Linked DNA regions of Macaca mulatta. The protein of the gene in region 4 purifies or fractionates together with the protein of the main gene of each other region. This does not show direct contact. Links are inferred from orthologs where the notes say so. Each region holds a gene or a part of one and is shown on either strand. Other genes may lie near its edges.

Evidence for each region.
Region 1: the proteins of UBE2O (region 4) and RPL23 purify together in Homo sapiens (affinity purification with mass spectrometry; 3 studies listed by BioGRID and IntAct, with this or other methods). This does not show direct contact. The link is inferred for Macaca mulatta from reciprocal best matches to the Homo sapiens genes UBE2O and RPL23.
Region 2: the proteins of UBE2O (region 4) and CAPZB purify together in Homo sapiens (affinity purification with mass spectrometry; 3 studies listed by BioGRID and IntAct, with this or other methods). This does not show direct contact. The link is inferred for Macaca mulatta from reciprocal best matches to the Homo sapiens genes UBE2O and CAPZB.
Region 3: the proteins of UBE2O (region 4) and EPB41L5 purify together in Homo sapiens (affinity purification with mass spectrometry; 3 studies listed by BioGRID and IntAct, counting the BioPlex papers as one, with this or other methods). This does not show direct contact. The link is inferred for Macaca mulatta from reciprocal best matches to the Homo sapiens genes UBE2O and EPB41L5.
Region 5: the proteins of UBE2O (region 4) and BUD23 purify together in Homo sapiens (affinity purification with mass spectrometry; 5 studies listed by BioGRID and IntAct, counting the BioPlex papers as one, with this or other methods). This does not show direct contact. The link is inferred for Macaca mulatta from reciprocal best matches to the Homo sapiens genes UBE2O and BUD23.
Region 6: the proteins of UBE2O (region 4) and NAP1L4 purify together in Homo sapiens (affinity purification with mass spectrometry; 3 studies listed by BioGRID, with this or other methods). This does not show direct contact. The link is inferred for Macaca mulatta from reciprocal best matches to the Homo sapiens genes UBE2O and NAP1L4.
Region 7: the proteins of UBE2O (region 4) and RECQL4 purify together in Homo sapiens (affinity purification with mass spectrometry; 3 studies listed by BioGRID, with this or other methods). This does not show direct contact. The link is inferred for Macaca mulatta from reciprocal best matches to the Homo sapiens genes UBE2O and RECQL4.

The regions. Positions count from the first base shown.
Region 1 is NC_133421.1:63,144,641-63,149,244, forward strand, and holds the start of RPL23 (large ribosomal subunit protein uL14), read right to left. Parts: upstream 2,976-4,604; 5' UTR 2,946-2,975; coding exon 2,933-2,945; intron 2,339-2,932; coding exon 2,255-2,338; intron 2,224-2,254; exon of another isoform or gene 2,089-2,223; intron 1,958-2,088; coding exon 1,829-1,957; intron 1-1,828.
Region 2 is NC_133406.1:221,631,999-221,635,204, forward strand, and holds part of CAPZB (F-actin-capping protein subunit beta), read left to right. Parts: intron 1-1,246; coding exon 1,247-1,349; 3' UTR 1,350-1,359; intron 1,360-3,206. UniProt on the Homo sapiens protein: F-actin-capping proteins bind in a Ca(2+)-independent manner to the fast growing ends of actin filaments (barbed end) thereby blocking the exchange of subunits at these ends.
Region 3 is NC_133417.1:17,461,355-17,465,267, forward strand, and holds part of EPB41L5 (band 4.1-like protein 5), read right to left. Parts: intron 753-3,913; 5' UTR 745-752; coding exon 565-744; intron 1-564. UniProt on the Homo sapiens protein: Plays a role in the formation and organization of tight junctions during the establishment of polarity in epithelial cells.
Region 4 is NC_133421.1:86,146,413-86,150,325, forward strand, and holds part of UBE2O ((E3-independent) E2 ubiquitin-conjugating enzyme), read right to left. Parts: intron 3,607-3,913; coding exon 3,497-3,606; intron 3,354-3,496; coding exon 3,203-3,353; intron 2,978-3,202; coding exon 2,505-2,977; intron 2,046-2,504; coding exon 1,891-2,045; intron 1,640-1,890; coding exon 1,527-1,639; intron 1,439-1,526; coding exon 1,292-1,438; intron 948-1,291; coding exon 858-947; intron 1-857. UniProt on the Homo sapiens protein: E2/E3 hybrid ubiquitin-protein ligase that displays both E2 and E3 ligase activities and mediates monoubiquitination of target proteins. Negatively regulates TRAF6-mediated NF-kappa-B activation independently of its E2 activity.
Region 5 is NC_133408.1:51,181,017-51,184,929, reverse strand, and holds part of BUD23 (18S rRNA (guanine-N(7))-methyltransferase), read right to left. Parts: intron 3,626-3,913; coding exon 3,530-3,625; intron 3,444-3,529; coding exon 3,361-3,443; intron 3,258-3,360; coding exon 3,161-3,257; intron 1-3,160.
Region 6 is NC_133419.1:2,877,201-2,881,113, forward strand, and holds part of NAP1L4 (nucleosome assembly protein 1-like 4), read right to left. Parts: intron 2,324-3,913; coding exon 2,182-2,323; intron 1,613-2,181; coding exon 1,526-1,612; intron 30-1,525; coding exon 1-29. UniProt on the Homo sapiens protein: Acts as a histone chaperone in nucleosome assembly.
Region 7 is NC_133413.1:154,940,644-154,944,912, forward strand, and holds the start of RECQL4 (ATP-dependent DNA helicase Q4), read right to left. Parts: upstream 2,801-4,269; coding exon 2,540-2,800; intron 2,475-2,539; coding exon 2,441-2,474; intron 2,332-2,440; coding exon 2,237-2,331; intron 2,014-2,236; coding exon 1,873-2,013; coding exon of another isoform or gene 1,866-1,872; intron 1,591-1,865; coding exon 817-1,590; intron 720-816; coding exon 593-719; intron 293-592; coding exon 161-292; intron 78-160; coding exon 1-77. UniProt on the Homo sapiens protein: An ATP-dependent DNA helicase which unwinds dsDNA with a 3'-overhang in a 3'-5' direction. Does not unwind more than 18 bp of dsDNA. May modulate chromosome segregation. The N-terminal domain (residues 1-54) binds DNA Y-shaped DNA better than ss- or dsDNA.

The DNA.
Region 1 (4,604 bases), about 23 Mb from region 4:
ACATCTTAAAATCAAAGCTGCCAGTATTTTCTCGCAAGTGTAAAACTCTCAGGAGGACAATTATCCTTGCCTATGCCTTTTCCAACTTCACCTCACAGGTGGGTTATTAAGATCCCAGTATCACTGACTTGGGATGTAGAAATGGGACCTGGGACCCCCAACTGCTCCCAGTCCTGGCAATGAGCAGAGACCAAGCTATTCAGATTTATACTGGAAAACAGTTGGAATTCCAGGGCCCAAACACCAGGCTTTATGTTTTACTTTTAATGTTTTACTTTCCAGTGTCATAAGTAACTTTTACACCCATCTGTACTAAAGTGAAAAAGATGCTTTTCCCAACTTTCAAAATCAAGTATCACTACACAGTAAAATATAATGCTTGTGAAGAACTATTGTAGAGTCAGACACACCTGGATTCAAATCTTCACTGATACTAGCGTGGGGTCCTTACACAGAATTTTTATAATGACAGGAAGACTATACAAAAAATAGATAAGTCTAACCAAGTTAGCAATGGGACACACATGAGGCAGCCAATACTTACTGACCCTCCTCTACTTATAAACCATTAAATGCTCACAAATTCATCAAGTAGACAAATAGACCTGGCCCTTTTGCACATTTCTGTGCTTGTTATTTATTAAGTTCCAAGGGGAGGGGATGTATTCATTTAGCAGAAACAAGGACCAAAAAAGACATTAACAGAATTGGATACTCACAGCTCGTTTTAAAACTGAAGTGTTCTGAGCTCTGGTCTGTCCCACCACTGACTGAGACCAACAATCCACTCTCCTGCCATCTCATCTACAAAGTGATGGCCATTTGCTCTGCTCTTCTCTAACAGCTCCCTGGGCCACCAATCAGACCCAGGAAGTGTTCTGAGAAGAGGAAAAAGCCCATGCAATTGCTGAATCACAAGCACAGTGCTACCAAGCCCTCAAGTGGCTATTAATGGTAAACAAAAAAAGATTTCTAACCCAAAGGTTAAAAATCTACTGGAGAGCATCGTGGGGTGGATACAGGAATAGGAGTAACTGTAACACATGGCTAACAAATCAACATCATATTTGTAACTCAAGGGATGGCCATGAACTCTTTAGAAGAGCAAGACATCCCAGGGTAGAGACAGACTAGGCAGGCACAGGAAAAAACTGCAAGAGCTGAAGTTAAAATGCATCAAATACCAGAAGTTCTAAAGCCGGACAGGACACAAACTGCAAGTATTTTGAGGCCTCCCCCTTTAAATCATACAGCTGACAGGAAAACTTATGAGGGGGTAGCCTGAGATTAAGTAATGAGCAATTAGCTGGGTGTGGTGGCGCACACCTATGATCCCAGCTCCTCGGCAGGCTGAGGCAGGGCAATCACTTGAGCCTGGGAAGTGGAGGTTGCAGTGAACAGAAAGATATGTGCCACTGCACTGCAGCCTGGGCAACAGAGTGAGATTACATCTCAAAAATAAATAAATAAAAATAAAATAATGAGCAGCTTCTCGTTTTCATTTTCTAATTTTTTTTTTTTTTTTTGAGAACCCAGGAGGCAGAGGTTGCAGTCAGCCAAGATCGTGCCATTGCACTCTCCAGTGTGGGCTGAGCGACAGAGGGAGACCCATCTCAAAAAATAAATAAATAAATAAATCTAAAGTATGGAAATGACAAGATGATGGTCCCCCCTCCAACATAATATGAACAAAAACTTAAGATACTTATCTCACATTGCCTCTCAATGGAAAACAACCTTGAGGCCTTGAAAACTGATCCATTTTCCAATAAAGGAAAGAGTCCCCCCACTACTTATCAGTGTTAAGGTGGGCTCAGTGTTTACTCACCCTTTTTTCTGAGCTCTGGTTTGCCTTTCTTGACTGTGGCCATCACCATGTCACCCACACCAGCAGCGGGAAGTCTGTTCAGCCGTCCCTTGATCCCCTTCACGGAGATGATATACAGGTTTTTGGCTCCTACAAATCAATGTAAATAAAAATGAAAAATGTTGAGGGCCCATCAGGCCGTTCCATCAGTATTACATTTCCCAAACACTTCCAAAGTCCCTCCCTCCACTGACTGCCCAAGCAGTTAGTCCTCAAGAACGCCTTGTCACACCACCGATTGAAGCAAACAACACAACATGTTGCCACTTCACCCAAAAGCGATGTTTTCACTCTCCCCTTTCTTGACGGCTCAATAGGTCATTAGGCACAGGCCCATTGAGTGCTTTTAAAAGGGGGAGTATAGCAACCTGCAGTCAAAGACCTCACCTGTGTTGTCAGCACAATTGATCACAGCTCCTACCGGAAGACCCAACGAAATCCGGAATTTCGCACCAGAGGACCCACCACGTCCTGTGGATATAAAGGGAAGGTAAACAGGATAAAGAGATCACTATCTAGACATGGTTCGCAGTTCCCCCTCATACTCTTAAACTGTAATTCACCGCACATACTTTGACAGATGGTATGCTATAGATTAGCTCGCTCGGATTTTACTTATGCCCTCCCCGTGTGCCACCCGATTCTCACGGAAAGTAGCCTATTTCTCACTATTACCACTCTGACATCGAAATTAAGGAACCTAGACGACTCAGCCCTTGTTCCAACTTTCGCAAAACGCAATTGCTCCTGCAAAGCATAAGACCGCAGAGGTCGCGCAAACCAGGGCCTAATCCAGTCTAACTTCAACCCCAATACGATAGCCCTATTCGCAGAGCGATCTCGCGGGATCCAGACTATATTCATGTCGGGATCCTGCTATGTCAACTCTCCAGCACCCCACTGCCACTTTCGAGGGCCCTGGCAGTGCTCTTGCGATGGCCTGGCTCTCCCTCTCCGGCCTGAAGGAGAGCAAAGCGCCCCAGCTGCCTAGGGCCACCGCTCCTGACGAATCCGCCAGCCACTGCACGACAGATGGTGGAGGATCCTCCAGAAGCAAAACCTCACCTCGCTTCGACATCTTGAACGCCGGAAAAAAGAAAAAAGGAAGTTGATTCAAAGGACGCTGGGATATGAACTTTGACGCCCCGCCCACCTTCGTCACGTGGCCGGAGCTAAAAACTCTGCCTCTTCCGCCTCTGGGCGCTGCCTTATTGCGTATTAAGTTCACGACGTTACTTTGAGCCCTCTCTGAAGTGGGCGTTGAAGTAGAAGCGCAAGAGATAGGAAATCTCTTCTCCAGGAGCTTAAGAGTAGTTAGGGACATGGAAGCAGTGATTTGTTAACTTGCTCACGACCTCTTTTGACAACTTAATACGTGCCAGGCACTTATCTGCACACTAGAGAATAGGAATTAAAACACGGTTTGTGCCGTGTGGGGGTTCCCAAAGAAACAAAGACAGTGGGGGAGGGGGGAGAACCAGCTCCAAACGGTTTCGTTGAATGTAATACAATTGAGAAGTGCTACAGATCATTCCATCTATGTGTTCTTGGTACCATACTATTCTGTATTTTACATATACAGTATTGCTCTGTTTATTGACCCGCCCCCCCCCCCACACACACACACACAGTTGTTTTTTGTTTTTTTTTTCTTTTTTTTGAGACGGAGTCTCGCTCTTGCCCAGGCTGGAGTATAGTGGCGCGCTCTCAGCTCGCTGCAACCTCCGTCTCCCGGGTTCAAGCAGTTCTCTGTCTCAGCCTCAGAGTAGCTGAGACCACAGGCGCCCACCACAACGCTGGGCTAATTTTTGTATTTTTAGTAGAGATGGGGTTTCGCCATGTTGGCCAGGCTGGTCTCGAATTTCTAACCTCAAGTGATCTGCCCGCCTTGGCCTCTCAAAGTGCTGGGATTGCAGGCGTGAGCCCCCGCGCCAGGCCACTTGCTCCTTTCACAGCTTCAGCCGCCCCTTTCTTCTGGGTTCTTCCCGTGCCACGATGCATTCATTCAAATACTTACTGAGCTCCTACTTTGTAGCAGGTTCTGTCCAGGGCGTACAGCGGATTACATCAGACAACAAAATGGATCAATATTGTTGTCCTTATGGAGCTTACATTCTGCTGGGGTGCAGGTGGAGGAGGATATTAGACACTAAACAAAAGATATAATAAATAATTGCAGTATGTAGTATGTTAGATGGGGATAAGTATTATAAAAATATAAATAGTATCGCTTCTTGGCCTTTTGGCCAAGATCAAGTGTAAAATACAAATAGTGGCCGGGCCTGGTGGCTCACGCTTGTAATCCCAGCACTTTGGGAGGCCGAGGCGGGTGGATCACGAGGTCAGGAGATTGAGACAAGCCTGGCCAACACAGTGAAACCCCGTCTCTACTAAAAATACAAAAATTATCTGGGCGTGGTGGCACGCGCCTGTAATCCCAGCTACAGCTACTCGGGAGGCTGAGGCAGGAGAATCGCTGGAACCCGGGGGGCGGAGGTGGCAGGGAGCCGAGATCGCTCTACTGCACTCCAACCTGGGCGACAGAGCTAGACTCCGTCTCAAAAAATATATATATAAATAGCTCTTTGAGAAAGACGCCGTCGTAGGTGTTGCGGATCGCCAATCCTTACGCTCCTGCTCCCGGCTCACCGCTGTTAGCTCTCGCCCAGGAACCAGTGGGTCAGGAAGCCGCGCAGTAGCCATGGATTTTAAGGATACCGGAAAAACACCCATGGAG
Region 2 (3,206 bases), on a different chromosome or scaffold from region 4:
CTCTCAGTAGCAGCTGTCGGTCCCTACCTGTACCGTTTTCTGGGGCACGTTCACCCTAGCAGCCATTGGTACCCTTGCCCCCAGAGCCTCCTCAGCCCTGCAGTTTGTCAGTCCCCACTCAAAAATCTGCCCAGCCCCTCCAGCCTGGGCCTAGGGGAGCCATGACACTACATCCCAGGCAGCCCGGCCGCCTCTGGCTGGCCTGCTTTCCGAGACAGCAGAGCACAATGTGCAGGCAGGGCCCTCAGCCCGGGCCTTCTCAGGGGGCCCCCAGCCTCTCTGACGTCCTCTGCCAGGGCTCTGCTACCAGTGGCCAATGTCCTGCACTGTCCCACCCACCTCGTGCCCTCGTCTCTGCAGTGTCAGCCTGAACAAAAGCTGGGGGCTCTCTGGACCCTCCAGGTCCATGGTGGACAGAGCAGGAGGCAGGCCTCTGACATGAGGCCAGAGCCCAGCTGGGGGCAGTAGACAGCTGTGGAGTGAGCACTGGCCTTGGAGTCAGGAGGCTGGGATCTCCCCTAAGCTCTGTCATCCTGAGCTGTGTGGCCTCTGGCACTCCTCGAAGAGGCCCTTGTCCGATGGAGGAGGCAGGGTCGGCTGAGATGGTGAATCTAGAACACGCTCTGCAGTCCAGCAGCACCATGTGAGTCGGGCCATGCTATGCCCTTAGCAGCCAGCCCTCTCACCCACTGCCGTGACATAGCTCTCACAGCCCAGCCCAGAGGAGAGGCAGGTTGCAGTTCTGTTGCTGCACCAGCTCATGGACTGGGGTGGGTGACAGATTTCAGTCGCCTGCTTTATAGTTTTAAAACAGAGGAGTCCTCCTCTTTGGACCCTGGTCTTCTGATCTCCTGCCCACCTGGGGGAGGTTTGGTCTTCATGACCTGTGACAGGGTCAGAGCCCAGTGGTCCGTGGTGTTAGGCCTGCCACCTGCAGCCACTGCCCAATACACCAAACGCACTTTCCCGCCCAGCCAACCTACACAGTCCCCAGGCAGTGGCTGGGAAGTGGGGGAGAGAAGCGGAAGAGCCTATGGGTGGTGGTGGCGAGCCCCTGAAAACCACGGCCACCGCCAGCGTGGGCCTCTGCAGCGGTGATACCACTCTACAGCCCAGAGCCGCTGCGGCACCCCCCTTCCGCCTCGTGGGTCTCCCTGAATTTCCTCCTCAGCTGTGGCCCCCTGCGTTCCTGGCTTCTCGTGGTTCTCTTCCCTCCCACTCCACTCATCTTGAACACTCTCTGTAGATCTATTGATGCTATCCCTGACAACCAAAAGTTTAAGCAGTTGCAGAGGGAGCTCTCTCAAGTGCTGACCCAGCGCCAGATCTACATCCAGCCTGATAATTAAGCCGATCCAGGTACCCTGCCTGAGAGCCGCGAGACCCTCCCCACTAAAACAGGACTCACCAACCCGCCGAGACCCTGCCGGTCCGGCTGCTGCTGCGCGGCCATTTAAAACACCACTAACCCCCACGTGTGCTCCCGGCCGGTGCGCAGCCGCATTCCCGTGTAGCCGCGGCCCTGTGTAACACGGCACCTATCACGTGTGTGCGCTTTCCACTCTGGGCGGAGGTTGGGTGTGGGGAAGACGGCTGATTTTTTGGCTTTTGCTTCTGAAAAAACCCAGGCCAAGGGACGGATGCTGCCTCTCCAGCAGCAGCCCCTTGTGTGCACCGGCCTGACTGTCCCCAGGGCAGGGGTCTGCGTGCTGTCCACTCCCCATGCTTCAGAGGAGCCTCGGATGCTGGTGCAGGGATCCTAGAAGCCTTATAAGCCCCTGTTCAGCGGTACATTGGCTGTCCAGGGCTAGCTGGCTTGGAAGGGGTGACCTCCGCTCTGATCTCGGAGTCTCTGGGGTTGGAGGGCAGAGTCAGGGCTGGACTCCACCCCGGCCGGCCCCGATGCTCTGCTGGAGCTGCCTGGACGCCCAGTGCAGACTCGGCCTCAACCAGCATAACCTTCCGCCCCTAACGAGCTGCAGCTGTTCCTTTAAACAGGTTCTGCGGATGGAAAGGAAAATAGTCTTGCTTGTTGGTAATGGCCAAGAACCATGACTTGAGCTTGTGACAGATCCAGATGTAGGGAAGGAGGCAGCATCCCTGGAGAGCAGGAGGGAAACTTGTCTGTAAAAGAAGGCATTTGGAACCCTGCCAGCTGGGGCTGCAGAGTCCAGGTCCAGGGGCTCCACACTGAAGGCCCACCCCAGAAGGGGGTGCAGCAGGCTTTCCAAGGTGGAGGTGGGGGTCAGGCACTTAGAAAACCAGGCGGAGCTGCTTTTCCAAGGCCGTGGGACTTAAGTGCACCAGTCTAGTCTGTGTGTGCCAACTTAAGGCCCAAGACTCCGGTCAGCCTCACAGTGGGGCCATCAGGCATTTCCATCGTGGCATTGAGAAAAAACCCTTTTTAAGGTACACTGTGATGGTGCAGTTACCTGGCCGCCCACTGGGGGCGTCCTGGCGTAGAAACCCTGACAGCCAGGTCTGCTTAGGACGACTCCTCCCTCCCACAGAGGCGAGCTCTGTCTCCAAGCGCTGATTCGAGGGTGCTTGGCCGTGACCTTCCCAAGCTCTGTCCCTTAAATGAGCCCCCTGCTCCTTCCGCCTTCCACCATTTCACTTCTAACTTCCTGTGTCTAACTTGATTCTGGCTCTGGAACTTTCTCCTTTGTGCAGTCCAGCCAAGACCTGATGGGCTTGGCTCTTCCTTCCCAGAAGAGCCAGTGACCACCCAGGCTAGGGGTCTTGTGCGCTGCTGCTTTGCCCACCGCATCTCCTGCTGGCCATGTTGACCTCCCGCTGTGAGCTTGGCAAGAAGCCCCTGGGGAATCGGCTGAGATTTGGAGCCTGAGGGTCATGAGGGCTGATGCCTTTGGCTGCTGCAGAGCCAGGGACAGTCCTGGGAAGATACTCAGAAACGTGTAGTTCCCCAGCATGAACCAAATGTCCGCGTTTCTCCTGGGAGTTTTCTCAGTTGTATGCAGCTTGCTTCCAGGTCTTGTCTGTGGCACCTGCTGAGTATTTTGAGGGCTCTTCCTGTGACTTGTAGGGATTCAGTAGCCGGAACTCAATCTGGGTGCTGTTGCTTCTCCTGGGCCCTGCTTCACTTCTATTTACCCATTTTTGCATTTGGGGACTGATTTTTCTGATTCTTCCTTCCCATGGCTGGTGTGAATCAAACGTGAGAGTCCAGCTGAGTGCACCCTCCG
Region 3 (3,913 bases), on a different chromosome or scaffold from region 4:
TCGGGAGCAAAGAGAAAGACAGTCAGAGCTGAGGGGTATGAAGAAAGTCCTTTTTCTCACTTCACCTAATTAATGTCTGCAAGTAAACCAAATTGTGGGGAAATACTTATTTTGAAGAAAGTAAGGAGAGTTTTAAAAAATACAGAAGTGCACAGAAAACTAAAAGTCTTACAGTACACATGGAAGTGTTGTTATTCTCAAAGAGTCACAATGTTTTAATAATTGTTCAACAAGGATTGTGAGAAATCCACTAGACTACATTACGTGCTGCCATCACAAAGAACACACATAAACACACACAAAACGGACTCATGCCAATAACTGCTCTATCATCTAAATGCTTCAGGTAATTGCCACTAATTCCAAAGAGAAATACCATCAATCCAAGTACTTTTGGTCTACAGTTATCTGATCCGTGTACCCGAATGTTACAGTGCCTGAACTATATTAACCCATAGTACCTTTACCGATTACGATCCAGAAGTTATCAATACAAAGCTTTTAAACAAACAAACAAAGACAGTAATCGCAAACAGAATTTGGAGTTCGGCAAGACCTACTTACTGGCAAGTCCACACTAACATCAGTACCATCCAGAAGGGACACCCGACACGTGATGATGGACTTAGAATCTCCAGCTGCAGGAATATGTGTGGCTGCGCGCTGTGCTTCTCGGAGTCGTTCCTTTTCCGCATGTTTACGCATAGACCGACGCCCCAGTGTTCTACGGAAGAAACTCAGCATTTTTGTCACTATAAAAGCAGAGAGAAAAAGATGGCATCAGCAAAAAAATGAGATTCTCCACAACTTGCAGTCAGTCAAATGGCATTATTTAGTCAAGTCCTGTGCAAATTAGTAGAAATGCTACTAAAAAGGCCTCCTGGGCTGGGTGCAGTGACTCACGCCTGCAATCCCAACGTTTTGGGAGGCCCAGGCAGCAGGACTACTAGAGTCCAGGAGTTCAAGACCAGCCTGGGCAACACAGTGAGACCTAATCACTACTAAAACTAAAATTACCCAAGTGTGGTGGTGCATACCTGTGGTCCCAGCTACTTGAGGGGCTATGAGGCAGAAGGATGACTTGACCCCAGGCAGTGAAAGCTGCAGTGAGCTGGGATTGCACCACTGCATTCTAGCTCGGGCAACAGAGCAAGACCCTGTCTCAAAAAATCAGTAAATAAAACAAAAAATAAAAAGGTCTCCTGGTCAAGTAAATCTGAAAAAAATCATTAAAACTGGCTACTTTTAATAAATATTTCAAGAGATATTATACATGATAAATATACACAATTTTTGTCAATTAAAAAGTTAATTTAAAAATCTGGTTACTTTAATTCAAAGTTTTAAAAGACTTGTATGTATAAGACATAGCCACGGTTTGTTTGGAGCTTTCTAAATTTACTGGACCATTTTATCAGGAACTGATTTGGCAGGAGAAGGCAAACACTCATGAAGTTCATCAGGTCTTCTAAAAAGGTAAATTATATGTACAACATCTTGTATATCCTAAGATATACTCAGGTATCCTTTGATGATCATAAAAATCTTGAGAAGTGGTTGGGTGTGATGGCTCACGTCTGTAATCCCAGCACTTTGGGAGGCCAAGCCGGGTGGATCACGAGGTCAGGAGATAGAGACCATCCTGGCTAACACGGGAAAACCCCATCTCTACTAAAAATACAAAAAATTAGCCGGGCGCAGTGGTGGGCGCCTATAGTCCCAGCTACACGGGAGGCTGAGGTAGGAGAATGGCTCAGCCATTCTCCTGAATCCAGGAGGCGGAGCTTGCAGTGAGCTGAGATCACGCCAACTGCACTCCAGCCTGGGTGGCAGAGCGAGACTGTCTCAAAAAAAAAAAAAAAGTCCTGAGAAGTTCCATTTCTTTTCTGAGCATTCATAACAAAAATATAAAAACAATCACCTATTTCAGCTAAAATACAAATATAATTCAAATTTCATAAGTTTTGTCAAATATTCTATTACATACAGATTTTAAATAACTACTTAACATAAATCTTTTTAATGTCAAAGTACTTTAACGCTACTTTTTTCCTTATCTCTATAAAGAACATTAATGTTAATCAAAACAGTTAAAACGGGTTTTAAAACATAGCACACTAAATGGAAACACAAAATCAAAGTCACTTTGCTATCCTAATGCGTTTCATTTGCACAACAAAGAGAGTTTAAGTACACATAAGCCACCAAATAAGCCAAAAAGGCTATTAATTCCAAACGAAACAAGAAGCTGTGCAGAAAAGGAAAAGTAAATCACAATACACTAGATGACTCAGCTGCTAATGATTTAAATGTCAAACACTAAATATTGAGCAAACAATAACTAACTACAACAGAGAGGAGGTACATAATAAGAGGTAGGGGATACAGATACGAAAAGAGTTAATTCCTCATCATGCGTAACAGCAAGCCAACAGGTCATCACTAAAATTAAAAAATCAAGAACTAGCAGTAAGAGCATTTGATTTAAAATGTGAAAATGATTGCCTTGGGAGAGGGAGCAGAAGAATTCAGAAGAATGCTGTTTTTCAAGAGAAGCCTTCAGATTAAATGACTTTTTCAACTAGATTTATTTATAAACCTGATAAAATCCAATTTTTAAGATACTACCATATTAAAATGTCTATACACCGAAGATTAACCTACACATTTTATACAAGTATACTCTTGTGTAATTAGGTAAACTAATCCCAAGGAGATAACTAAAATTTTAGTTAGGTAACTTTCCAGTGTGCCAAACACTCATATATAATAATACCTGATCCCACTCTCTCTCCAGATATTTCTCCCTTTGGAATTTGCTATCCAGTCTCATTTCAGCTGCCTAAGACAGTACTTGTTATCCCAGCTTTCTAAAATCCTGTGTCACAGAATCCCTACATATTCCTTTTAACTCCACCAATATCTCCCAAGAAACATTTTATGATATCCCACCACTGCACTCCAACCTGAGAGTGAGATGCTGTATCAAAAAAAGAGCCTGATATGAAAAACTCCTAAAAGATAATTTGAAAGATGTTCATAAAAACGAACACCTTTAACAGTATCCAAGAAAATCCAAATGAAAAAAATAAGATACCATCCGTCTGTCATTTAAAGACTCAAGATAGTGTTAAAAAGAATGTGAGAAGGCCGGGCGCGGTGGCTCAAGCCTGTAATCCCAGCACTTTGGGAGGCCGAGACGGGCGGATCACGAGGTCAGGAGATCGAGACCATCCTGGCTGACAGGGTGAAACCCCGTCTCTACTAAAAAATACGAAAACTTAGCCGGGAGAGGTGGCGGGCGCCTGTAGTCCGAGCTACTCGGGAGGCTGAGGCAGGAGAATGGCGTAAACCCGGGAGGGGGAGCTTGTAGTGAGCTGAGATCCGGCCACTGCACTCCAGCCTGGGCGACAGAGCGAGACTCCATCTCAAAAAAAAAAAAAAAAAAAAAAAAAAAGAATGTGAGTCATACATTGGCCTTTTTTGGAGGGAGATTTGCCCATGCTATTAATATTTTTTTTTAATTTTTTTTTTTTTTTTTTTTTTGGAGACAGTCTCACTCTTGTTCCCCAGGTTGGAGTGCAATGGCACGATCTTGGCTCACTGCAACCTCTGCCTGCCAGGTTCAAGCGATTCTCTTGCCTTGGCCTCCCGAGGAGCGGGGATTACAGGCACCAGCTACCACGCCCGGCTAATTCTTGTACTTTTAGTAGATACTGGGTTTCACCATGTTGGCCAGGCTGGTCTCAAACTCCTGACCTCAGGTGATCCACCCACCTCAGCCTCCCAAAGTGCTGGGATTACAGGCGTGAGCCACCTCACTGGGCCAATATTAAAAATTTTAACATGCATACTCCTTACTCAACAGTTCTATTTCTGGAAGGATAACCTAAAGAAAAAAAAAATCACACCT
Region 4 (3,913 bases):
TCCCCGCCCTCTGCTCTGGATTTTGCAGTCCCTAGGTCTCTGGGAGAGGCCCTTCACCTGTGCCACCCCTAAGCCGGACCCAAAGCCCCAGCCAGTGGTCTGTTCCAGCCTCTGCTCCTGCTCTGTGCACTTGGTCAGCATCTGCCCAAGGCAGTAGGGGACCTTGGCAGGCCCAGCCCTACACCTGAAAAGCTCAGGGTCAGCTGATGATACAGCCAAGGAGGTCTGTGTGGGGCTGCGCTGGGAGCTGGGAACATATGACAGGAGGGGACATGTGGAAGGGCCGACACATCTTGCTGCCTTCCCTGGAATGGCCGTTAAGGTGATGGGGCAAGCCATTCCCACTCCCACTCCCGCCCCTGTGTGGACCAGGAGAGGAAAGCTGGGCTGTGTGGCTCCAACCAGGAGGCGAGGGAAGGAGAGCCCATGTAGCTCTTCTGCTCAGGACCCAGCAGCTGGGGTTAGAACTGCACCAGCTCCTTTCTCTCCTTCTCTGTTAGAGCTTTCTAGAAACGGTGGTAGGAAAGTTTCCATCTCCTTTTAGGAGGGAACTTGCATTCTTCGCAGCACAGTGAGCTGACAATCCAGGAAAATCCTGGAGGTCTGTGAAAGTCTACATGCACCAGCGATGGATGGCCGGGAAGAGACTGCTGGGAGAAGCGAGGCTGGTGGGCCAACTGCGGGCTGCCCCCAACCCTGCACCAAGGGCTGTGTGGAATGCCTGCCTTGCCCCCTCATGCTTTTGCTGAGATCTCACCAGGAAGACCTGAGAGCCCATCTTCTGGCTACACGACTATGGTCCCCAGCCCAAGCTGCCATAGTCACAAGCCCAGTGGGGGGTCTTGCCAGAGCCTCACCTGGGGCAGGATGATGGTCTTTGAGTTGTCAGCCCACACCACCTCCACCTTGCTGCTGACGTCCACACGGGCCACCTGGCCCACCGATGGCTGCCGGGCAAAGGGGACAAAGTCAGGGGGTCCAGCTCAAGCTCCAGCTCCCCAGCCCCTCCTGTGCTCTGCAGTGACTGACATCATGCCCACCCAGCTCGTGACAAGAACTTAGCTCCTCTGGTAAACGTAACCAGCGGCAGCTGAAGAAGCCTGACCCCAGAAGCGAGGCAGGGAAACAAGTCCTTCTGCAGCTGCTAGGGCTGAGCAGCAGCTTGACTTTGGGGCAGCTGCCCTGGGGACACTGAGCCCAGAGGACTTTCAGGTCTTGTCTCCTAGAGCCACCTGGTGGCAGCATCAGGGACTGCAGCTGGTGCACAGGGCAGTGAGCAGCGGTCCAGAACTTGAATTGGAAGGCACACCTCATCCTCCTTGTGAGGAGCCCCGTCCTCAGTATTGCCGATGCGGATGACGATGTCAGTTGTACGGAACCTAAAGTCAGGGTGGTCAGCAATGTCGTAAACACTCACGTCTTCCTCTTCTCCAATCAGCTGTGGCACAGGACAGGTTGTCATGAGCTACGGGTCCTACACCTAACCCCAGAGCCCACCTGAAGAAAGCAGTAGGGGCTGCACACACCTCCACGTCGTCCCCACTCGGCCGCAGCTTGAACCACTTCACCATGCAGGTGCGGCCGAGGTGGTCCCCAGACTGTACCACGCCGTAGACAGCAGGGTCTGGACAGCTCTGGACTAGGGAACCAGAGGAAGGGACGTGACTAGCTAAGGGATCCCGGCTAAGGAGCCGACATCTCAAGCCAGTGCAGGGTGCAAACTGTGACCTTCCCCTGTCTTGGAAGTGGTGAGACCCCTTCATGAGGGCAGTCCCCTTCTGGACCTCATTTTAGCTCTGACCCCAGATCCACTGCCCATTCTCCACAAGCCCCAACCTGGGCCCTCACTGGCAACCACCCTGCTGGCTGCCCTTCCAGAGCTGGCACTACCTCGCTTATCTACCACGAAGTCTCCGGGGCAGAACTCGTTGTTGTCCAGGTGGTGCACAGGAAAGAGGTCGTTGGAGCGGATGTTGCATTCCACAGAGCCATCCTGCCACATCACGTCGGCTGAGGTCATCGTGGTCACCACCTCCACTGCCACCCTGCCGGATGCAGGCCAGTCAGCAGGCCATGCAAACGCCACCCCCGCCCACGGAAAGGGCAGAGAATCTTTTTGTCCCTTCCTGTCCCTGTGGGCTTAGTAACCTGAAACTCCGAATCCCAAGTTGGCAGGATGAGTTTCTGGTGCACAGGAAGCTCACCCAGGGTTCCGAGGCCATGCACTCTCTGAGAACGAGACCCACTTGGGAGAGCTCAGGCAAATGTGTTCCCAGAAGGCCAAGCTTAAGGCCACCACCATCCCACCCTCTGCACCACTCCTCAGTCTCCGCTTTCCACCAGGGCCTACCCCAGGCACCTACGCTGTCTCGGATGGGCGTCCCTGAGCCACTACAAGGCATGCAGAGGTGTGTGTGCGAGCACAGGCACGCACACCCAGGGGACGCGCACTCTGCCTGGCTTCACGCTGACGCCACTGGGGAGGGGCACAACTCTGAGTTTACCTGTCCCCTGGCTTGAAATCTCGAGTGATTTTATTCTTCTTCCTCTTGTGTTTGCGCTTTAAGTTCTTGATGGACAAGGGGATGCTCTTTTTGCGACTCGTGCCACTGCCGCTCTGGGAGGAAGTGGTGGAGCTGGCAGAGGAGGTCACTGAGCTGGTGTCGTCCGTGTCGTCAGCAGCCTCATCATCTGCGTCCTGCTCTGCCGAGTGCAGCCTGTCATCTCTGCCTTCTTTTAGCAGGAATGGGGGCAGCTGCTCTCCTGCCTCGTGGGGCTCCTCTGCACCTTCGTCCTGCATCTCCACTGGACTGGCAGAGCCATCAGGCGTCTCCTCGGGACTGGCAGACTCTGCTTCACTCTTGGCTTTGGTTTCCCCCTTCTTGTCTGGGTCTTCCATGGAATGGTCCCGGGAACACTGGGTGTCTGGGGAGCACGACATGATCCGCACAACCTGCTTCTTCAACAGGCGCTTCACCTGCAAGGGCGGAGCAGAGAGGACAGGGCTGTGAGGTGCACCTGGGCAGGCCTGGCCCTAGGCATCTCAGGCTGGGGGGATGACAGTTGTATACACCTGAGTAGCCGGCAAGGGTCATCAGGGCTGCCCCCCAAGGCCTAAAGCACAGACTGTCCTTTTTGGCCATGGAAATGGCTCAAGGCCAGTTCCTCAAATGCCCACCAACCCCCAACCCCAAGGACATACCTTCTTGGCCATAGAGCCCTCCCCCTGGGCGCAGTTTTTTTCTGGACATTCCCAGGCAATCTTGGCTGGCTCTACCTTGGCTGGGAAGACATACAGACAGCGCTCCCCAAGCTGCCGCTGAGCATGGTCAAAGCATCCGAGACGCTTCACCCTGGTTGGGAAAGAAGCAGGGGTGAGCTGAGCTGGACTCCTGGGAGGCCAGCAGTGTTCTTGAGCCTCCCCGGGCATGTGGCCAGGGCCCAGAGGCCTGTTCCGCGCGTGCCCCTGGGTTGCTGGCAGTAAGGGCGTGCTCACCTGCCTAGGTTTTCCTGGGTGATGACAGAGGGTGGGGGGCTGACGCTGTCCGTGCCCCCTGGACAGAAACTTTTGGTAATCCATGTAACTTTCAACTCTACAACCTGCACCTGGGGATGGCAGGTGGGACACGCCAGTCAGGGCAGGCTCTGACAGCATTCTCTTTAGCCAGTTGCCCAAAGCCCACTCGACCTCCAGAGCAGGAAACTGATCTTCCTAGTGTAGCACCAAGTACAGACACATCAGAGCAGACCCCAACTGTAACCACGGCCCACACCCAATGCCCAGGACCCGTGTCACTGCTCACACCAGCCAGGGGCCACTGGAACTGCCACTTGCCACCCTCCCACCTTGCTCAGCCTGTACAGGCTGGGCTGGGGGACGTCTGTCTTTTGGTCACTATGACCAGAGCCTGGG
Region 5 (3,913 bases), on a different chromosome or scaffold from region 4:
AAGACAAAGAAAAAAGTGCAGGTATACTGCAGGTCATGATTCTACAACACTGGGAAAATAGGACATACAGAAGGACAGCATTCATGTCCCTCAGTCAGTCCCAGAAACCTTTCCTCAACCTTGTTTCCATCTGCATCTCAACTTGAGAATTCCTCCGTGTCAAGACTGTCTGCCCACACACCACTCTCCTTGTTCCCTTCCTCCAATCCAAGGAAACAGGCTTTAGACTATTCACACACACACAGCCACCCCATCACCCTTCCTCTTAAATCACTCCCTTCCACTCTACCTGTTAAATGTTTTCACAACCCCCAGATTTAAAACCTCAAGCGGCCGAGCACGGTGGCTCACACTTGTAATCCCACTATTTTGGGAGACTGAGGCAGGTGGATCACCTGAAGTCAGGAGTTTGAGGCCAGCCAGACCAATACGGTGAAACCCGGTTGCTACTAAAAATACAAAAATTAGCTCGGCGTGGTGGCATGTGCCTGTAATCCCAGCTACTCAGGAGGCTGAGGCAGAAGAATCACTTGAACCCAGGAGGCGGAGTTTGCAATAAGCTGAGATTGTACCACTGCACTCCAGCCTGGGCAACAGAGCAAGACTCCATCTCAAAAAATAAACTAAAAAAACCCTCAAGCAGTCACTATGTCTTCCTTCCTGCCCTTCCCCTCCCTCTGCTGTACACACACATGCAGAGCCCTACCTCCACTCCCACAGCCTCTCCCAACTTTCACGTCCCCCCACCAATGCTCAGCGCTACCAGCTCAAATGTTTCCACCTAACTCCCTCTCCTCTTCCATCTGAAAATCACCTTCCTTAAACACACATCTGATCCCGTCACCTGCCAACTCCCCATCATCCATCAAGCCCAAACTTCTTAGGACATACTTAAGTGCCTTCTAGGAACCAACCACACACAACGCCATCTTCTGTGGAATCTCTCATTCATCACTCTCATCTCAGACCCTTTTCCCACTAGCGTCAGTGCCTCTGCCCACTGTTCCCTCACTCGGAAACCCTCTCCTTGACTATCCAAATTCCTCCCAGCCTTCAAGGTGCAGCCCCTCCACCCAAGGCTTTCCTGTGCTCTGGCAGCCCACAACTCTCTAGGGCACACACCACTCACGGCCTTATATTCAGTTGCCTGGTCCAAGTCCTAAAGCACCTAATAAACCGTGGAGAGTATTAAACAGAGAGACTGTTTCATATCTCCGTACTTCACAGCAACTTGTATGTCTTATATGTAGCAAACGTTTACAAAAGAAAGTCTGGGCCGTGAGTGGTGGCTCACACCTGTAATCCCAGCACTTTGGGAGGCTGAGGCAGGGGGATCACAAAGTCAGGAGTTCAGTACCAGCCTGGCCAACATGATGAAACCCCGTCTCCACGAAAATACAAAATCAGCCGAGCATAGTGGTGAGCGCCTGTAATCCCAGCTACTCAGGAGGCTGAGGCAGGAGAATTGCTTGAACCCGGGAGGCGGAGGTTGCAGTGAGCTGAGATCGTGCCACTGCACTCCAGCCTGGGCAATAGAGTGAGACTCCATCTCCAAAAAAAAAAGTGTGCTATACCACTTCACCTCTCCCCCAAGAGAGACAAAACTGACCACCCCCCTTCCGAAACATACAGACCATACTGCTGGCCTTCGGCTTTTCACAGCTTAGAACACCTCACCAGACCATTACCAAAAAGCATCTGCTACCCTTGAAATTATTCCCCAACTCCTCTGGGTCTTGTTCCAAGATGTAAAAGGAAAATCTTCTAATCCAAATTTTTACCTCTCACCTGGCTCCCCACTTCACATCCTCACCACTCAACCTAGGGTAACCAAAGGAGGTCTCCCCTATTTTCTTACCTTCACTCTCACACTGCACCAAAAACTACACAGAACTGATTGCAGCAGCCTAAGGAAAACGTAATCAATTTTAACGCTCTAAGATCTGTTATCAAAGTGCTATGCCGATGTTTAATCCAACCCTGATTACAGAGAAAGGACTCTGGAGCACTGAAGAGATTAGAGCAAGCCCCGCCGCTCTCCACCAGAGTTATTTGTTGGCAAATAAAGATGGCTGTTGGGGCCCACAAGATGTCTGCTAAATGGCTGCTAGAGGCTAAAAGACCACCTCCCCTCCCCCACCAGACACACAAAGCCAACATAGAATCCGTACCAGTGGTGCCTGAACCCGGCAATGCAAAATAATCACAATAGTAGACAAGTTTTACTTTTGAGATGAAGTCTTGCTCTGTCGCCCAGGCTGGAAGTGCAATGGTGTGGTCTTGACTCACTGCAACCTCTGCCTCCCAGGTTCAAGCAATTCTCCTGTCTCAGCCTCCTGAGTAGCTAGCTGGGACTACAGGTGCCCACCACCGTGCCTGGCTTTTTAGTAGAGACTGGGTTTCACTGTGTTGGCCAGACTGAAAAGTTTTAGAATCCAAAAAAATACACTCTTAGGCCTTATTCTAACCTTGTAAATCTGAAAATCCCATGGGATGTGTATTTGTAAATATCTGCGTGACTGCTGCACAGCCAGGTTTGGGAAGCACTGGCCTGCAAGACTAAAAGCAGGAAGTGGCCGGGATGGCTCACACCTGTAATTTCCAGCATTTTGGGAGGCCCAAGTGGGTGGATCACCTGGGCAACATGGCATCTCTACAACAAATACAAAAAAAAAGTAAGCTGATCACGGTGGCTCACACCTGTAATCCCAGCACTTTGAGAGGCCGAGGCGGGTGGATCACGAGGTCAGGAGATTGAAACCATCCCAGCCAACATGGTGAAACCCTGTCTCCATTAAAAATACGAAAATTAGCTGGGTGTGGTGGCACGCTCCTGTAATCCCAGCTACTTGGGAGGCTGAGACAGGAGAATCACTTGAGCCTGGGAGGCAGAGGTTGCAGTGAGCCCAGATCACACCACTGTACTCCAGCCTGGTGACAGAGCAAGACTCCGTCTCAACAGAAAAAAAAAAAATTAGCTACGTATGGTGGCATGGGCCTGTAGTCCCAGCTACTCAGGAGGCTGAGGTGGGCAGATCACCTGAACCCAGGAGGTGGAGGCTGCAGTGTGAGCCGTAATCACAGACACTGCACTAGAGCCTAAATGACAGACTGAGACCCTGTCTCTGAATAAATAAAAGCAGGAAGTGAAGACCCTCACCTGATGCAACCGTCAAATGTGCCCGGCTTGAATGGGATGCCCTGGCCCATATCCCCCAGGAGTAGGTCTCCCTCTATCTCTCGGTCCACGGCTTCATCTACGTTAGAGAAAAGGCAATCAGAGAAAGAGACAATACCTGTGGCTTCTCCACACCCACCCATCAGGGTAATCCACCCTGGTGCCAGACAGGACATACATACCCAGCATGGCAGGGCTGATATCCAGGCCCACCCAATAGTGCCCTTCATCTGAGAGATAACTTCCACTCAGCCCAGTGCCACAGCTGGAAGACACGATCATAGACTCACGGTCAGTTTGCAAAGGTACTTCACCACCTTAGACAATCTGAACCAGGCCCCAGAATCTCACCCAATATCCAGCAGGTAACAGGGCTTATTCTCTGGCAGATAAAGAAGCTCCAGTGCTCGCCCAGCCATCCTGGTCTGGATATCAATCATCCGTGAGCTGGGAAGGCAGAAACACAAGTGGACATGGTAAAGGAGTTCTGGGTGAATACCTCCCCCAGACCAAATAAAAAAAAAAAAGCCAAGTTAAAAAAAAAAAAAGGATCAATCATCCCAAGGTACTCTTTTCTGACCCCTTCTAAGTTGAGATCAACAAATTCAACTATTTAAAAGTGACCCCCAAATTCCATGTAATTCAGGACCATGTTATTTTGTGGTAACAAATTATCACTGTACCAGCTGCCAAGCAGATGTGTAAAAAGCAAATCACTTTCCTAATAATAAACAA
Region 6 (3,913 bases), on a different chromosome or scaffold from region 4:
GTTATGACTACTTTATTTTTCATGTCTCCCTAAAAAAAATAAAGATGCAAAAAGATCGCAAAAAATACAAATTTAAAAATAACGCAGTGGCTTAATGTAGAGTACCATTTCCAAATCCTGTATTATCTCCGATCAAAAACCTTTCTTTCAGAGTCTGCATCTCCAAACCATTCACTGTGCCATGCAACACTTCTCAGATGCTTCTGAGGGAAAAAAGCAGTCAAGGCGTTATATCCACATGGAATTCCTTATGATTTCACATCAAAGGCGAAGAAACTGAAGAGATGACAAAGTGCCACCAACTCTGGGAAAGGTCATCCAGTGCTAACTCTGTGAGGTGCCATCCTGAGACAATCATCATCACAAATGCAGATGCAAAGACTGTACATCAACCTTAAGGAAATGGAATGCAAATATGCAGAACATCTATCACTGGGAAAAAAAAGTCCAGTCCAAGGATCAGTAAGTTCACTTGGACTAATAATCTGACCTCTGGTTAAAATTTGTGGGGTAGGGGCAGTAAGTTGAAGTAAAAAAAAAAAAAAAAACATTTGCTGCAGCAGTATCTGCAGCAAGAAAGTGCTCAGCAACTTATCCAGCTTTAAGCAGGTGGCTATAAATGCTGGTTCATGGACATAACGCAAGCATCAGAAAGTGATCAGAAAGGGTACATGGTAAAGTGAAGGGGAGTCTTATAACATCAGGCCCCAGGGAAAAGGTAGACCAAGGGAGGTAAAACATAACACTAAATGGAACTATGGGAGATTCTGAATGCCTTGCCAAATGGGATTGTTATGATGAAATGATCTCATAGGCCTTTTAAATTAGCGAAGGCAGATTTCCTTGAGCTGTTAGAAGCTGATTCACAACTGTATCAATCCACAGCCATGGCTTCAATTTGGCCAGGTTCTACATATTTTAAAAAGATCAAAAAACACATAAGGCTACCAAAATTATCATATACCTTAAAAAAAAAAAAAAAAGAAAAAAACCATGCCAAAAGTTAGTTATAGGATAAAAGTTACTTGTCTCCCAAACATAAAATCAGGCTGACACTGGGAGCTTTCACGGCTGTGAGCAGGTAACTGACGGCCATACCACAACCACCATACGCAACCAATCCACTGGCTGAGCACCTGTCAGGGAGCACGCTAGTCCACGCCACTGAGCAGGAAGGCACTCCCCTCACAACTCCCCCAATATTCCAGTGACTGAGAACACAGGGGTATTTCTTCTTGATCTTTGCTTTCTCTGATGTTTTAATCTTTATTGTCTGATCCTTTATTTCAATATGCTCCTGTCCACAGATAACTGACATGGCACTACATCTTACTCCTCCTATGAACTGACAGTACTGTGCCAGATGCTAGATCAGTATCAGAAAGGAATCTAAACCCAACCTAATGATGCAGCAGCACCTACTGCTAGAAGCACGTAAGTTTACTAGTCATTAAAAATCATTAAAAAATGCTTATTTTTAATAGTATTAAAACAGAACATAAGTCACATTTTTCAAAAGACTTACAGCCAATTTCTCTTCCTCTTCATTTTCACTGTGCCATTCCGATTCCGCATCTGTTGGTTCAACATCACCGGTGATAAATTCTCTTCTCTACATAAAAATGAGACCTTATTAGAATTGTGTTATTAGCTTACTTGGAAACTCAAGAGTTAAATTTATAAATAATGTCTACAAAAAGACTTTGAAAACTGGGTATTTTTATAACTTATTTTAAGATTCTAAATTTTAGGGTTCAAAGAAAAATATTAAATGATTTCCTGGGTAAATCTGGATGTTTCACCTAAAGATCTAAAATAAAGGCGGTCCCTGATTTCCAATGGCTCAACTAAAGATTTTCAACTTCATGATGGTGCAGAAGCCATCACACTTTGAGTACCAATACAGCCACACTCTGTTCCACTCTGTGTAGTGTTCAATACATTACATGAGATACTCAGCACTTTATTATAAAATAGGCTTTGTGGAAGATGATTTTGCCTGACTGCAGGCTCATGTAAGTGTTCTGAGCTTATTTAAGGTAGTCTAGACTAAGCTATGTTTGGTAGCTTAGATGCGTTCTTACCCTAGATGTTGTCAACTTATAATGGGTTTATCACAACCTAACACCGTCGTAAGTTGAAGACTATCTGTATATTAAATTCGTTAAGAGAGTTCCCTACCTTGTCAAAAAGAGGCTGGTATAGTGCTGCATACTTTCTTTCCAAGTCATGTACCTCTTCATAGAACTTGGCTTCTATGTGAGCACATCTCACCTGAAGTTGTTTCAATGCATTAATTCTTCTTTTTACTGCTTTAGGTAAACTAAAAAAAAAAGGAGTAAGAAATACAACATCCTCATGCCTGCAAAATAAGGCACCATGCTTTTCAATTTTATTAAAACAAATTTAGGTTAACATGGAATTAACATAATGAACAAGACCTCTTAAAAATTAGGAAAAGGACAAATACCCCAATAGGAAAAAAAGGATACAGGAGGCAGAAAAGATAATTCACAAAAGAAAAAACACAAATTGTCAAACATGAAGAAAGATTCAATCTCATAAAATATCCAAAAGAATGCAAACATTTAAGAATGCTCATCTTTTCCTTACCAAATTGGCAATTAAAAACCAAAACAAAACACCTAGGTTTTACGAGGCTAAGGGTCAAGAAGCCCTCTGACTCATCTTTCTTAAGGGCAGAAATACTGAAAGTGTTCTTTGGACCCAGTAATTCCACTTCTAAGAATTTATCCTTAAGGCTGGGTGCAGTGGCTCATGCCTGTAATCCCACCACTCTGGGAGGCCAAGGTGGGAGGACGGCTTGAGGGCAGGACTACAAGACCAGCCTGAGCAATATAGCAAAACCCCTCACTACAAAAAATTTAAAAAATTAGCCAAGTGTGCCCCTGTAGTCCCAGCTACTCAGGAAGCTGAAGTGGGAGGATCACTTGAGTCTGGGAGGTCAAGGCAGCAGGGAGCTATGATTGTGCTACCGCACTCCAGCTTGGGAAACAGAGCAAGACCCTATCTTACCAAAAGGAAAAAAAAATTTATCCTAATCAAGTATTTATGCTGGATTGTCCATCGATAGATCTGTACAAGTGAAAAACTGGACAATGGAAGTTCAACGGTATTCAAATATGGCCTATTTATAATCACATTGTACAGGAATATTTAGTGCCACGTGGGAGTCCATACTTGTTAACACACTGGAGGAAAAATCTGAGAAACACAGACCACAGGCAACACAACTTTGTCCTTGAGAGTCAGGTCAACTATGAGTTTGCTCAATCCTGTTCTATGTTTTAAAAAATATTTTAGTTTGTATGTATAACTTCTATAAATCAGAAGAAAAATCCCTGTTTAACCTATCAAAACTATTTGCTTAAAGCAAAGCCCCTGGTCATAATCATGTGGACTGAACAGCAGATTCCCGGCCTCATCACAGACCCAAATAATCTACCTGGGGCAGGGCCCTGGGTCCTGAATCTTAGATACCCATTCACACGATCAGAGTTCTCAAGTCTAAGCACTTGACTTATCCTCCAACACCACACAGCACAGAGCAGCAGGCAATTCACACACACATATCACTGGTCTGGGAGGTATTAGAACAACTGCCTTGCATCCCAAAGGACCACTCTCCTGGGTGAAATATAATCACAGTTACCTCAAGCTAAAGGTCCTTAGTTTAGACTCTCAAATAATGCTTAACATTCTAGAACTACTGCTAGTAGTAGATGAGAACAAGGGAAAAGCAAAAAGAATTTAACAAAATCATAGACTCCCACTGCCACTTGTACCTCTTTTCAGCACTGATCATTCATTCATTCATTCATTCATTTACTGTGATAGGATCTCACTCTGTTGCCCAGGCTGCAGTGCAGTGGTGCCATCTCGGCTCACTACA
Region 7 (4,269 bases), on a different chromosome or scaffold from region 4:
GACTGCACGCTCCTGCCCAGGACGGAAGGCTTGGTGTCCCAGCTGCTCCAGGGCCTGGAACACCTCAGCCGGCGTCTCTGCAGACACAGGTGTTGACCACCATGACTTAAGTCACACCAACCCCTCGGTAAAGGCTCTGGGCCAGCAGCTGACTGCTTACCTGCCAGCTGCCCTGAGGGCCCCAAGGAGTAGAGTGGCAGCATGGTGGAGGCCAGGCCGGGCACCCCAGGCACAGGTTGTGGTGCAGGAACCAGCGGCTCAGGGCCAGCAGGGTCTGTGTCTTCCTCACTTACTGGGGCAGGCAAGAGAAGGTGGAATGGGAGCTCCAAGCAAAACAACCATTGGCCACAACCTTCTCTTTCCCCAAAGGGGTTGGCAGCAGGCAGTGCCCTTCTTCTGTGCTACTTCTTCTAAAGCATAAAAGGTTGACACCCATCCTCATCCTTGCCACCCTGCTTTGGGGGAGCCAGGGTAGGGCCTGGACCAGGGGCACCTGGAAGGTCTTTTGCTTGGAACAGAAGTGTCGCCCAAAAGAGTACCGTGCCCTCTCCACAGTGGTGGCCAGACCCACCCTCCAGGGCAGATGTCTCACCTGGCTGAGGACACTGGGGTGCCCAGTGATCAAACTGTTCATTCAGGAAACAAGACTCCTTGATCGTGACTGTGGCACCACCACCCCCAAAACACTCCCCTTTCTTCCGCCACTTCTGCTTCCATGCCTGAAGGGTGCCCACATAGGAGGGTCACTGGGTGGGACATGCAGGGGTGCTGAGGGGAGGGAAAGGGAGGGCCTGTCCCAGTCCATCGCCGTCTCACCTGCTTGCGGAGGAGCCTGCCACGGAGTGCCCGGCCCTGCACGTAGCGTTTCTGTTTCATGTTGAGCCGTACGTAATTGCCCCTGTCATGGCGGGCCAGCCTAGAGATGTGCAGATGGGCTGTGCCCTCAGCCTTACCCGCCCTAGCTTGACTGGAGGTGCTGAATCTGTGGTACCTGGGGGTCGACAAACTGCTGCAGGGCTGAGGTGGCTGTGCCTGTACAGGTTCCCCTGGAGGGTCTTCCTCAAGTGCGACAGCCCCAGCCCCCTCCGATGGGGGTCCAGCCTGGCTGCTCTGCTGCTGGACCTGTGCGGGGCTCCCCCAGAGCTCCTTGTTCCGTCTCTGCTTCTTGCCTCGACTGCTGCTGGGCTGGGGGCTCCCTGCACGGATGCTGACTTCTTGGAGGGCTGAAGCCTCTGGGTCTGGGGAGCCAGCACCAGGACCAAGGACAGCTGACTCACCCGGGATCAGAAGCTGTGATTCCTCTGAGCCTAGGCCAGGCCTGCAGGCTTTGGGGGCCCCCAGAAAGTCTGGGATCTCACTGTGACATCGCTGTAACCAGTCAAGATCTAGGGAGGCCAGCTGCTGGCTCAGGCATGCCTGCAGGTGCTGCAGCTGGCCCGGCCTTGGCTGGGGCCCAGGGGGCTGTGGAGGCTCATCACTGACTTTTTCTGCAAAGGTGGGGACAGGCCTTGTGCCTGGGGGATTTGGGGTGGGCGTCTTGGATGAGGATCTTCCTAGAGGCCAGGGTCTGCGGCCTAGGGCTGGTCCGGCCTGGGAAGGGAACAGAATGGCAGCAGAAACTCAGGCCCCTGGGCTTCTGTAGACTCTGAAACCTGCCTGAGTTCCCACCTTCAATGGTAAGACAGGTTAATTAGCACAAGGCTGGCCTAGAAAGGGAGTCAAGGGCGAAGGCCCCGAGAAACTCCGTGGAGACTCGTGCCCTGGTTGGCACAGGAGCCTGTGCCTGTCTGTGTGGAAAGAGTGACAAGAAAGAACCCCGGGCCAGAAGCACCTCTGGACCTAGTGTGGACTCACTGCTTGCTAACTCCTCACCTGCAGGGTGCCTTTCAGGTTGGCCTTGAGCCGCTGCCCGTAGTCCGGCACCGACCCCTGGCAGCTCCGCCCTGGCGTATGTTGTGGACTGTGGGTTGCAGCCCGATTCAGGTGGGGCCCCCAGCAGTGGGACTCTGGTGCCTGCAGGAGACAGTAGGGGCGCAGGCCAGAAAAAGGCTGGTGTGGAAGCAGAGGCGCTCCCACCCACCCCCTCACACCTGGAGCGAGGCCCGGCCCGTCTTCACTTTGCTCAGTCCCCCTCCCAAGTTCTGTGCCCCACGGAGGCCTGGCCGCGACTCCGTGGCTCCTGCCACTCCGCCAAACAGGAAAGTGGGAGGAGGCTGGGGTGGCGGGGCCTGGATACCTCTTCGACGGCCACGGGGAGCAACTCGGAGCTGCGGGGCCCGCCGCCGGCCTGGCCCACGGTCCGCTTGAGAGTACGATACTCCCGGTAGAGCGCTGCGTGGGCGGGCGGGAGGCGGGGTCAGGGTGGAGCCTGGGCCCCCGCCGACCTGGCGTCCTCCCGCCTCCGTCGACCCGGGACCCCGCCACCCCGCCGCGCGCTCACCGCGGGTCTCCTGCGGCGCCGCCTCCACGTCATCCTGTAAAGGGAACGCGTCAGCCGCGGGCCGCGCCCTCAGCCCCTCGGCCCCAGGGCATCCCGTACCTGGCTCGGCCGCCGCCCGCGCTCCCGCCGGAACGCGCGTTCCCACGCTTGCAGCCGCTCGCGCACATCCCGCAGCCGCTCCATGGCGGGCCCGCCAGGTCTCCGAGCAGTCCAGCGGCCGCCCAGCGAATCTCCCGCGCCGCAGACGATGGGGCCAACAGCCAATGCGGGCGCGCGGCGGGCCGGGGGCGGGGCCACCGCGACTAGGCAGCCAATCCGCCGGGCCCTGGACAAGCAACCAATGGGGGGCGCCGACGTCATCGCGGGGCGCCGCGGCGCCGTGCGGGGCGCGGCGGACGGTCTAGGCGGGGCCGGAGGCGGTGGCTGCGGCTGCGGGACCGGTGAGCGCGGGCGGCCAGGCGGGGGTCGGAGTGGGGCGGCGTACGTCCCTGGCCCTGCCTGGCCGCAAGGGGCGTGGCAGCGGTCGCTCGGGGCGGCCCGGCTGAGGGAGGCAGTAGCTGCATTTGGGAGCCCGGGGCCGAAGCCGGGAGCCCGGGCGGTGCCATAGCGGGCCGGGAAGGACTGGGAGTCCCCCGGCCGGTCGGAGCGGCGTCAGGCCCTGGTGGGAGACGCACCTGGCTTGGAGGAGCAGGCCCCGCCCGGGACAAGAAAGAGCGGAGGGACCAGCGCCTCCCGCGACTGGAGGCCCAGAGGAGCCGGGCGGGGGCGTCTTTTCGAAACGCAGGCAGCCGAGGGCCGACGCGTTCCCCGTGGCCGGCGGGAGGGGCGGGGGCCTCGCACGGAGGTGCCTGCCTCCCTTGGTGGCCAGGCCGTCTGCTTTCGTGTACTCCCGTGACAGGTGCTCGGTTGGTCTGTCCTGTCAGAGCGAGGTATGACCGTTGAGATCTCAGAATGAGACCGAGGGTTGGTGTCTGGGACTTTTCAGGAAGCGGTTCTTTAAGGACTTATTTGTATGTGCAAAAACAAGGGCCCTGGGGCCAGAGTGTCCTCCCTAGACCCCTTCCCTGACTTGTCACTCAGGCTGTGACCTTGGGCCAGGCCTAGGCCTTCATTTTCTAATCTGTCACAGGGAGATGGCTGCGATTTAGTTTTGAGGATGCTGCAGTCAGCAGCAGGGCTGGCACCCTGTGTCACAGGTACCTTGTGGCCTTGGGAGTGTTCGCGCGCATCTCTGCAGCTTGAGTGCTGCTTAGGCAGCTTTCTTTGCCTTGTCTGAGCAATCTGTAGCCTTGCACCTTCCGAATCCCACATACTTAAGACTTGTTCTTTCCACAGTGGCTCTCCAGGGAAGAGGGAGAGGTTTTAGGCCACTGGTAAGAGCCACCAAAGGTGAAGGTTGCTTTCTTTCAGGGGTCTTCGTGCTTGGTGACACTCTGGAGAATAGTTTTTTTGGGGGGGGCTTATATTGAAGGCTTGGATTTCATAGGCTACATCATCTGGACTCAGTATTCCCTAGGTCTCGGTCTTTTCAACCTGCCCTGTTGCTTATGAAGCTGCATCTGTGCTTCCAGCTCTTTGTTGTTTTGTGGAGTCCCAGGGTAGCCCTGGAGAGCCTCTGTGAGGAGAGGGGAGGGAAACGTGATTTGGCTGCTTGACTCCTTGGAGTGTCCCGTCAACGTTAATGCTGATGAAGGTTGGTGGGGAGAGGCCTGGACTTTATTCAGGTTTCGAAGAAGGTTTTGTGAAGCAGCTTTGTAATTTGGGAGGCCTGAAGTACCCATGGGGGGCCCTGCAAGGCAACAGGCATCTGTCAAAAGCACACCCAAGCA